Schizosaccharomyces pombe: one gene and its partner. Each later gene encodes a partner of the first gene's protein in a complex. Each region holds a gene or a part of one and is shown on either strand. Other genes may lie near its edges. The genes, in order: nda2 and cut7. A codon is read from its position in the direction of its gene.

Evidence for each region.
Region 2: the proteins of nda2 (region 1) and cut7 are in contact, whole or in part, in a cryo-EM structure (PDB 6S8M), measured with the Schizosaccharomyces pombe proteins. Residues at the interface, in NP_596774.1 of Schizosaccharomyces pombe: His111 (codon at 2,468), Tyr112 (codon at 2,471), Lys116 (codon at 2,483), Ser404 (codon at 3,347), Lys405 (codon at 3,350), Arg406 (codon at 3,353), Val409 (codon at 3,362), His410 (codon at 3,365), Val413 (codon at 3,374), Gly414 (codon at 3,377), Gly416 (codon at 3,383), Met417 (codon at 3,386), Glu418 (codon at 3,389), Glu419 (codon at 3,392), Gly420 (codon at 3,395), Glu421 (codon at 3,398), Ser423 (codon at 3,404), Glu424 (codon at 3,407); in NP_594527.1 of Schizosaccharomyces pombe: Ser331 (codon at 3,285), Glu332 (codon at 3,282), Asn333 (codon at 3,279), Ile334 (codon at 3,276), Gly335 (codon at 3,273), Arg336 (codon at 3,270), Ser337 (codon at 3,267), Gly338 (codon at 3,264), Ala339 (codon at 3,261), Thr347 (codon at 3,237), Gly348 (codon at 3,234), Met349 (codon at 3,231), Asn351 (codon at 3,225), Gln352 (codon at 3,222), Leu355 (codon at 3,213), Arg359 (codon at 3,201), Asn362 (codon at 3,192), Glu366 (codon at 3,180), Leu405 (codon at 3,063), Glu406 (codon at 3,060), Glu407 (codon at 3,057), Ser410 (codon at 3,048), Tyr414 (codon at 3,036), Arg417 (codon at 3,027).

The regions. Positions count from the first base shown.
Region 1 is NC_003423.3:4,266,944-4,271,261, forward strand, and holds nda2 (tubulin alpha 1), read left to right. Parts: upstream 1-1,968; 5' UTR 1,969-2,047; coding exon 2,048-2,102; exon of another isoform or gene 2,103-2,192; coding exon 2,193-3,505; 3' UTR 3,506-3,818; downstream 3,819-4,318. Other genes in the region: SPOM_SPBC16A3.17C (transporter), read left to right, coding at 1-415; cytochrome c oxidase assembly protein Coa5, read right to left, coding at 841-927, 977-1,147; SPOM_SPBC16A3.14 (mitochondrial ribosomal protein subunit S26), read right to left, coding at 4,188-4,318. UniProt on the Schizosaccharomyces pombe protein: Tubulin is the major constituent of microtubules, a cylinder consisting of laterally associated linear protofilaments composed of alpha- and beta-tubulin heterodimers.
Region 2 is NC_003424.3:4,305,702-4,311,881, forward strand, and holds cut7 (kinesin-5 family plus-end directed microtubule motor, bimC subfamily Cut7), read right to left. Parts: upstream 4,637-6,180; 5' UTR 4,276-4,636; coding exon 1,018-4,275; 3' UTR 810-1,017; downstream 1-809. Other genes in the region: his1 (ATP phosphoribosyltransferase), read right to left, coding at 28-79; rps2801 (40S ribosomal protein eS28), read left to right, coding at 270-337, 487-625; tif302 (translation initiation factor eIF3b (p84)), read left to right, coding at 4,878-6,180. UniProt on the Schizosaccharomyces pombe protein: Could be a spindle pole body motor. On transition from G2 to M phase of the cell cycle, the spindle pole body duplicates; the daughter pole bodies seed microtubules which interdigitate to form a short spindle that elongates to span the nucleus at metaphase.

The DNA of each region.
Region 1 (4,318 bases):
ATCTGGTTTTCTTTTTCTGCCTCCGCTCATTGCAATGCAGGCAACTTTTCCACCTGCAATGACTTCCATGGCTACTGCTACACTTATGTTTATACGTACCATGGGTGGTTCTATTGGTATTACAGTTGGTGAAGTAATATTTAATGAACGGGTTACTCAATCCTTTGACGGGAATACAACTTATGCTCAGTTATCTTATAAACAGGTTGAACGGTTACCCCAGGAATTACAGATTCGTGTAAAGAATACCTATGCGTCTGCCTTCAGGGTTATTTGGATATTTTGTACTGTTGTGATGGCAATTGGTTTTGCTTCTATATTTTTCATTAAAAGCCGTCCCTTGATAAGTAATGCTCAATCTGTGCCAGCAAAAAAGAAAGGTGATAGCGATGAAAAGCCAGCCGAAAAGGTGTAAATTATTTTATTTTGTTTTATTTATTATTTAGAAATTTATTGCTTTAACGTCTTTCTCACTGTTCGAATGTGCCTTTGAGTTAACTTGAGAAACAGGATTTTTAAGGAAAGTTTGTGTAGTTATATCTCAATTTTTTTTTTAGAAACCGATAGCTAGAGATAATCCTAGAGGGTGAATTATACTGTATATCTTTGATTATACCTAGTAGAAAACACTTTTAATTTGTTTGCAGGGAATTCGGAAATTAAAACTTCATCTTTAAAATCGAAACCTTGAATGCATTTAATTAAGTAGATAGTCGAAATAATATCGCTAGAATTTAACACACTACGACCTCTGATGGTTCATAGAATAGGTAGCTTTTCTTAATGGCATAATTTAGTAATATCTGTTTGTATGATTTAATTGTCTATGAAACCATAGATTTATTGTTCGTCAACATTTGATGGCTTCTCAGTATCTTGGTCGGTGTTTTTTTCTGGCGCAATTCGATATCGTTTAGTCATATCCAGCTGAATTATAACCATTTAGTAAAATAATAAGAGCCAAGCATTAACGTACCATTTGACGTTTGCATTCGCCATACGCCTCTATCAGATTTTTGCATTCTTCTGGAAGTTCGTCCTTGTTTTTGAGACATTCTCGTGCACTTTTTTTTTTAACAAACATACAATCAGAATGTAACAAACAATTTGCTAAATCTTCACGAATAACTTTACACGATCGGCCCATTTTTTACTGTAATTTTAAAACAAGGCTAAAAGTACATTGAATTCGTTCTTGTCAGTAGAAAATAGGATTTGGCGTAAGGTAAGGTGAACCTCTACAATTTGTTAATCCCTTAAAAGAACCATATGATCAAATGTTCTATACTAGATTCACCATACGTAAAATACATACTATTAAGAAAATAATTAAGCAAGCTGCTTTTAATTAGGTTTCATAAAACTGGGAATCCAAAATCTTTTGTCGGGCTAAACGCATAGTAATTTGACAGTGATTACAAACCCACAAAGCTTTGCTTTCAAACCTACTTTCTGAGGTTTCTAACCTTTAAGTATACGCTTAATGCATTTATTGCAAATCACTCAAGTATAAAACATCATTATATAGAAAACAGTAAAACGCAATGCAATGATTATAACCTTTCTTATCAAAAACCGTAAAGTGTTGCTAGTATGTTTTTATAAACAATTGTTACATATTTGAAACAAATTCTCGTATTCTTTGGCAAAGGAGCATAATTCTCATTATTTATGCTTAAATACTAATAATTATGTTCATTTGCTTCGTGAAAAAATGTCTTTCAAATCATAGTTCTTTGTTTACATTTATCGTCACTTCAATCCGTACAGTACAGAAAAATTCGAAAATTGATCATTGCAAGAATATTAATGAATACTACTTATATTACTTCTTTATAAAACATTATGTTATTTGCATGGTATGAGTTTTGGAACCTCATTGCATAAACTTCCCTCCTTAGTGCTTTACGAGTTCATTCGTTTTTCGTTATTTCCTACTCATGACTTGGAGTACCTACGCTCTCCCTTGACAAACAACCTAAGTTTGCAACCAAAACGTCTTGTGTAGCGCGTTTAGTTGCATTTACATTCGTTATTATCACAAATTATGAGAGAAGTAATTTCTGTTCATGTTGGACAAGCAGGTGTTCAAATCGGTAACGGTATGTTCAATATCCATCTTTTTGTATTGCTGTATACTCTAAATAGTTGGCAATCGATTTTTTCATAAAAAATTTAGCTAACATTTCTAGCATGCTGGGAGTTGTACTGTTTGGAGCATGGCATAGGACCCGACGGTTTTCCTACAGAAAACTCCGAAGTTCACAAAAACAATAGCTATTTAAATGATGGATTCGGTACATTTTTTTCTGAAACCGGGCAAGGAAAATTCGTACCTAGAAGTATCTATGTTGATCTTGAGCCTAACGTTATTGATCAAGTTCGTACTGGACCGTATAAAGATCTGTTTCATCCTGAACAGATGGTAACTGGTAAGGAAGATGCTTCTAACAATTACGCCCGTGGACATTATACTGTAGGAAAGGAAATGATTGATAGTGTATTAGAAAGGATACGTCGTATGGCTGACAATTGTTCTGGTCTCCAAGGTTTCCTTGTATTTCATTCTTTTGGTGGTGGTACCGGCTCGGGTTTGGGTGCTTTACTTCTGGAGCGCTTGAACATGGAATACGGAAAGAAATCTAACCTCCAATTTTCTGTTTATCCCGCCCCTCAAGTGAGCACATCCGTTGTTGAACCTTACAACTCTGTGCTCACTACCCATGCTACTCTCGATAACTCTGACTGTACCTTTATGGTTGATAATGAGGCTTGTTACGATATCTGTCGCCGAAATCTTGACATTGAGCGTCCAACCTATGAAAACCTCAACCGCCTTATTGCTCAAGTTGTCTCTTCTATCACCGCTTCTCTTCGATTTGCTGGTAGCTTAAATGTTGACTTAAATGAGTTTCAAACTAATCTTGTGCCATACCCTCGTATTCACTTTCCTTTAGTCACTTATTCTCCTATTGTCAGTGCAGCTAAAGCATTCCATGAATCCAACAGCGTACAAGAGATTACGAATCAGTGCTTTGAGCCTTATAATCAAATGGTAAAATGTGATCCACGAACTGGCCGCTATATGGCTACTTGTCTTTTGTATCGTGGTGATGTTATCCCACGTGATGTCCAGGCTGCCGTTACTAGCATTAAATCTCGTCGCACCATCCAATTTGTTGATTGGTGCCCTACTGGTTTCAAAATCGGTATTTGCTATGAGCCACCCCAACACGTTCCTGGTAGTGGAATCGCTAAGGTAAATCGTGCTGTTTGTATGCTTTCAAATACCACCTCGATTGCTGAAGCTTGGTCTCGTCTGGACCACAAGTTTGACCTTATGTACAGCAAGCGTGCTTTTGTTCATTGGTATGTCGGTGAAGGTATGGAAGAAGGTGAATTTTCAGAAGCCAGAGAAGATTTGGCTGCCTTAGAAAGGGATTACGAAGAGGTTGGTCAAGATTCTATGGATAACGAAATGTACGAAGCTGACGAAGAGTATTAATTTATCCAATAATCGCTTTTATACGTTATTTCATTCGTTTTATAACTTGAAGATATCTTGCATCTACCCTTGTCTCTTTAATCTTTGTTTATTCAGCCCTGTGGTCAAATAACTAAAGGGTGTCTGTCTTTCTTTGAGAGTTAAAATGTTCACCCAGCGGCAAGGAGATAAATTGCTCGTCCACTTATCTCACTGATTTTTTAACTTGAACATTCTTTTTCTTTACTAGTCAATTCTCATTTAGATATCAATCTAATCCACTCTATCTTTGCAAATAAACCACCAGTAAAATTTCAATTTCTCCTTTCTGTGGTATCTTTTTTTTTTAATTTTGCATGAAAAAGAGACACTATAAACTGTAAATTACATTGTGTATTGGCGCTTTTCTAGCTTTACAAAAAAAATGTTTTTAATCTCAACCTCTAAGCAATAAATCGGTTAATTGGTTAATAAATTACTTAACTTATATGACTCGATTGCTCGGAATTAGCCTAAAATCATTTAGAATACGAGCATGAGCCAAAACAGTCTACTGTAGAAGTTTCAAGGACGAGTAGAGAAAACACAATTTTTATTAAAATTAGAATGAAATTTATAAGGTGAAAGTAGAAAAAGGCGTTTTTTTAAAATCATAACAAGATTGTGATGAGATATAATTATCTAAATTGATTGCACCTTTCTTTCATACCAAAGAATTAGTCAATCTTTCCTCAATGACAGACCAATCTATGCAATCAAACCATGTGTCGATGTATCTTGAGCGATTTAAAAGACCGTAATCTTTATAATATGCATGATTCCATAAACAAAGGT
Region 2 (6,180 bases), on another chromosome or scaffold:
CTGTGCTTCTTTAAAAGCTTCACTTACTTTTGGGAACAGCAAAAAGTAACCGATCTTCCAAGTGGTTAACCAAATCCATTCTAATTATTAGTAACGGATTACTTGTACGCTATGGCGTTACAGTCAATTCACGCACGCATCGGTATGTACCGTTTACTAACTACCACCACCAATGTCGAAAAAGCAGTCACAATGTTCCCCATAATTTTAGGCGGTGCATTATACATTCTTCCTAAACACCACGCACTCTTATACATATCAAGAGGATAATGGATTCTTCTAAGGTTCCTGTTAAATTGGCAAAGGTCATTAAAGTGCTCGGTCGCACCGGTTCTCGGTAAGTTTGGGAAACTTGTCAGTTTATTGTTAAATTCAACATATTGTATTCACATAAATTGATTTGTGTTAAACGAATAAACATAAAAGATTCTAATTATTCCTCGCTTTTGTATATCCAGCAAGCAATGATTACTAACTTCTCTGTAGTGGTGGAGTCACCCAAGTCCGTGTCGAATTTATGGATGACACTTCTCGTTCTATCATTCGTAACGTTAAGGGACCTGTTCGTGAAGATGACATCTTGGTTCTTCTTGAATCAGAGCGTGAGGCCAGAAGATTGCGTTAAAGCTGCTTTGGCCCATTGTTGTTAAGAGCATCTTTGCAAAAAATATAATCTCGTTACACCTTTTACGATTCAATTTGCTTTTTGACGCCATATCTGTAGCTTCAAAGATTTTATCAGTCTTGTATATTGCTTTCGAATATTGTAAAAGTAAGAACATAGCTAATGTATCACCCCTTTTCCAGAGTCCTTGTATATCGATTAACCTCGTCTGTATATCATTAAACTTCTATCTAAATTAATCTTTATATGTATACAACTCCTAAAACTATTATTTAAAACGCAGTATGTACACACATAACCAAACTTTCCGTTTTAACCAGCCAAAGCCCCAAGATGTAATACATTTCTATTGTATTTTCGTCCATTAAGTATAAATTAATAAAATCGTGTCATTATCGTTTCATTTTGGAATAGGCACTTCTGCTACTCCGCAAAAGACTAGTTCTTGATGAATTAGATGGTTTATCATATACGTCCGGCTCATTAGTTTGATTAGACGATGTGTAGGTTTCCCTAACGAATTTCTTATCCGAATCTAAATTTAAATTCGTAGTTTCCTTAATTAAAGACGAATCTCGTGTCCAAGATGGAGTGGCAGGAAGTTCTCGTTTGGAAGGTGTATCGCCAGTTGTTTCCAGCTTCACCAAAGACGTGTCTTCTATAGTAGTTTCAAGGTTACATAGAGATTCATCTCCTAAACCAAGTAATTCATTAGTATGATTAGCAAGTGATGTCGTTCCCTTTAAAACATGATCTGTAATTTTCTGTAATTCAGTGTGCGGTGTCTTGATGGAATCGATAAGATTGTCATTGTTGCCAACAAGGGATTCCAATAAATCAAGTAATTGTTGATGCTTCTCCTTGGTATTATCTTCTGAATGCTCTTTTACTTTCTGCAACAAACGATCCAGCGTTTGAACTTCAAGATTAACACCTTGTTTTTGAGACTCCGCTAAAGCCAAGCAATGGTCATACATTGATCTGGAATTGCTATGAATGGCCTTGCTTTTACTGTCAAGCAGTTGAGATCCATTTTCAACTGTCTTTTGAATCCTTTCTTTATTGGCACCCACGATTTCTGCTTGTGAAGCCGCATTCCGTAAAAACTCTTCTGAACGGTTATTCATAATTTCGTTTGCTTTCCTTATATTCGAGTTTGTATCATTGAGATGTGAATGTAAGATATCCGCTTTGGTATACAAAGATTCGTTCTGTTCCTGTAAAAAATTTGAAACAATTTTACCAATATTAGCAATCAAATCTTGTTGCTTGGATTCAAATTTGGATTTTTGATCAGATATGTAATCACTTAATATTATATCTGCATCGTTCAAAGATGTTGTGCAAGTTTTAACCAGAGCATCAATATCGTTACGCACACCATACATTAGCTCCTTCTGTGATTCTTCATGAGTATGCTGTAAATTATATAGTGATCTTAATTCCTGAACAAGTTGTCGGTATGATTCTTTCATGTCTTTCTGCAATTCTATCAATTCCGAAGAAATTCCATTTCCCAACTTCTGGGAAGACATGCTAATATCCTGCAGACTGTGCTCCAACGCATCAAGAAGGCTGTTTTTGGAATCCTTTAATTCAGAAACAATTAGGTCTAAGCTAGAATTAGGTACTGCACAAGAAGAACGAGCACTTTGCAACGCCTCATCTAAACTCTGAAAATGCTCAGTAATTTTGGTCATAGAAATCAGCAGTTGATTACTGTGGGTGTTCAATAATTCTTCCATTGAAGCATTAAAATCATTCAACAAAGTAAAATAGCCATTTGTTTCATCAGTAAAACTTCCATGAAAAGATCTCAACATCGTTAACAAATTGAACTTAAGATTCCAAAAATTGTTTTCATTTTCTTTATTATTTCGTTCAGTGCGATCAAGCTTCTCATATAAGCTAGCAATGTATTCTTTTGATTCTCGGTAATATTGGGAAAGGTCTGTTGCAACAGTTGTAATTTTAGCTTCATTGGTTTCGTATTTTTTTCGTTTTTCGATTTCTAAAACTAGTTCATTTTTCAGCTTTTCGTTCTCAGACTTTACACTTTCTAACTCTGTAGATGAATTAACCAGTTGCAGTTGCAGAGCTTCAACTTCCTTTTTATGTTCTTGATTAGATTTAGAAACATACTGCAGTTGTTCCCTCGAACTTTTAACGTTTAAGTCCAGCACTTCAAGTTTGCGAGCCTGTTCCTGGCATAACAAATCTTTGTTTTGAACACGATCCATAAGCTCCTTATACGTGCTTTCAGCAAGATAAACTCCGTTCTTTTTACGGGTGGCATTAAGGTCATTTTTCAATCGTTCGATATCTAACACTAAGTCTTTTATAAGGACTTTTCGAAAGACAAGCTGATTATTTTGAGGCTTATTGCGTATACTTTTAGCACGAGCAGCATACTCCAAAGTAGAAATTGTTTCTTCCAAATTAGTATTAGTAGAAGATACGGTAACGATCATAGAGGTTTTAGTCTTTCCCCCCAAAGAATCCTGCAATAGGCGTGTAAGCTTGGACTCACGGTATGGAATATGGTGGGCCTTTTCCACTAATGCATTAATTACTCGGCCTAATGTTAATAGTGATTGATTGATCATTCCAGTTTCTCGAGCACGTTTGTTTTCAGCTCCAGAACGTCCAATGTTCTCGCTTCCAGCCAAATCAACCATATGAAGTTTGCTGGCGCGCAGCAAGTCATCAGAGTTATTATTTATGGTAAGTGAATTAGTTTCATCTGTCATTCCCGAAGATACCTTTCTATGCAGAGTTATCGTGAAGATTGAATGACTACGAGATGAAAGATCGTTACACTTTGTAGCAGCAACTTGACGCCGGTGAGAGCCTTCACGTAACAATCGCAACCCATCGCCAGCATTTTTTATATAACTTTCTTCAATACCAGTAATAACAACGTTCCCTCTCCGCGAAGTATCTTCAAAAACACGAGCTGGCTTTCGCAATTCTTCGGAAACCAAAAGATCGCGAATTTCCTCGTTGTAAAGTTCATAATAGGAGCATTTGACAGCATATTCTTGATTACTGTTGTCCAAGGAGGAAAATAATTGATAAAGGGCACGAGGAATAAGGCCTGCTCCTTCAGACAAAATTCCATCGGAATCGCTAAGATCACCAGACATAGTATATGTTTTACCGGTTCCAGTTTGTCCGTACGCAAATATAGTACAATTATAGCCGTTCAATACTTGCTCCAGCATGGGCGCTACCGAATTTTCGAATAGCATTAACTGGTCAGCTTCAGGACCAAAGACTTTATCAAAGGCATACGTCTTCGTGACCAACATGGATGAAGGATCCGACTGGATGGCCAATTCAGCACCCATAGCGCCCGAAGTCGATACAGCAAGGCTACTATTGTCGCGTACTTCTTGGTCTGTACGACCACGAACACGGACGACTACGTTAATATTGGTTTCGTTCTCATCATGAAGTGCATGATCTGTCGGAGAATTAGTGTCGGAGCGATCTGGGTACCCAGTGTCAATAGTAGGAGGCTCACGTCGTTTCCTAGGATTGCTCGCAGAGCGGAAATGTGAATTTGGAGTAGAAACCGGGTTTTTAGCTTTCAACCCCTGCTTTCCTAGAAATTGTTGTGAGCCACCAGGTGCAACTCTAGGGGCCATTCGGTTTTATGAGTAAGGATTGTTACAAAGAAAGCGACAAGGTTGTTAATTTAAATTGCAATTCTGTTGTAAAGTTCAATAAACCACAATATAAAAAAAAGGGGTAAATTTAAAATAGGAAAAGATCGTAAACGTCTGTTTTTAGGGGTAAAAAGAATGAATAAATTGGACAATTGTCGCTCCTGAGTATGTTGTTGAATTGTTGTAAACAAGAACGAGGACTCAGACACGGTAACACTTGGAATGTCTCATTCCAATGTTTTGCAGTACAAATCAACAGTATAAAAAGAGAAAAAAGAACTTTTATGAAAAATCCAACAATTGTGCTAATACTAAAAATCAATACAAAATGAACGAACTTGGCAGATAAACTGTTGTCAGTAATGATAATAGTCAAAATCGGTAGAATGAGTTAAAATCTAAAAAAGAAGAAATATAAAACAGAATCAACTTTATTAGTTTATTTTAAATGATACCATGTTTTTTAAATTCTACTTTTCATTACTTTCAATTTTTTTTAAATTTCTCTAAAGTTACTCTTCGATGTCCCCCCAGTCACTGGGTGAAGAAACTTGACTAGAGACAACGGCACTACACCAGAAATGTCGGAAATCCTAATTGAGGAAATTAAGGATCAAATCGTCGTAAAGGACGAGGAAATCGATGTTTCTGAACTGGAAGTTAAGCTTAATGTAACTAAACCTGTTGGATATGACACGGTTGTAGTAATCGAAGGTGCTCCAGTTGTCGAAGAAGCTAAGCAGCAAGATTTCTTCCGTTTTTTGAGCTCAAAAGTCCTTGCTAAAATTGGAAAGGTTAAGGAAAATGGATTTTATATGCCATTTGAGGAAAAAAATGGAAAAAAGATGTCTCTTGGACTAGTTTTCGCCGATTTTGAAAATGTTGATGGCGCCGATCTTTGCGTTCAAGAGTTGGATGGAAAGCAAATTTTAAAAAACCATACTTTCGTTGTTCGTAAGTTGAATCAACTCGAAAAAGCTTTTAGCACTCCTGATGAATTTAGTTTCGAAGAACGTGAATTTAAGGAGCGCGAACATTTGCGTAGCTGGTTAACTGATTACTATGGTCGTGATCAATTTATCAGCTATTACGGTAACCGTGTATCTGTTAACTGGAACCGTAAGAGCGACGTCCCTGAACAGATTGTGGATCGTGAAAACTGGACCGAGACCTACGTGCAATGGTCTCCCATGGGCACTTACCTCGTATCACTTCATCTTCGTGGTATTCAATTATGGGGTGGGGAATCTTGGGGAATGTGTGCTCGTTTCTTGCACCCCTACGTAAAATTTGTCGACTTCAGCCCTAACGAGAAGTATCTTGTTTCATGGTCCTATGAGCCTGTTCGACTTCCTCCCATCGGACATCCGGCTCGTGAAACAATGCCTTTCACTGATGATGATGAAGGAAAACATTGCTTCGTTTGGGATATTGCCTCTGGTCGTATTCTTCGTTCTTTTAAGATTCCTCCTCAACCAGAAGGTTCAAAGGATGGCAAAAAAGTTATTTGGCCTATTTTCAAGTGGTCTGCCGATGATAAATACCTTGCTCGCGTTACTGTTGGTCAGTCGATTTCTGTTTATGAGACACCCTCCCTTGCTTTGGTTGACAAGAAAACTATCAAGATCGACGGTGTGCAAAATTTTGAATGGTGCCCAGTTTCAGATGCTCTCGGACGTGATTCCAAGGAGCAGCTTTTAGCTTACTGGACCCCTGAAATTACCAATCAACCTGCTCGCGTTGCCTTAATTAGTATTCCTTCAAAATCAACTATCCGTACGAAAAATCTTTTCAATGTTTCCGACTGTAAGTTGTACTGGCAGTCTAATGGTGATTATTTATGTGTTAAGGTTGATCGTCACACAAAAACTAAGAAATCAACAT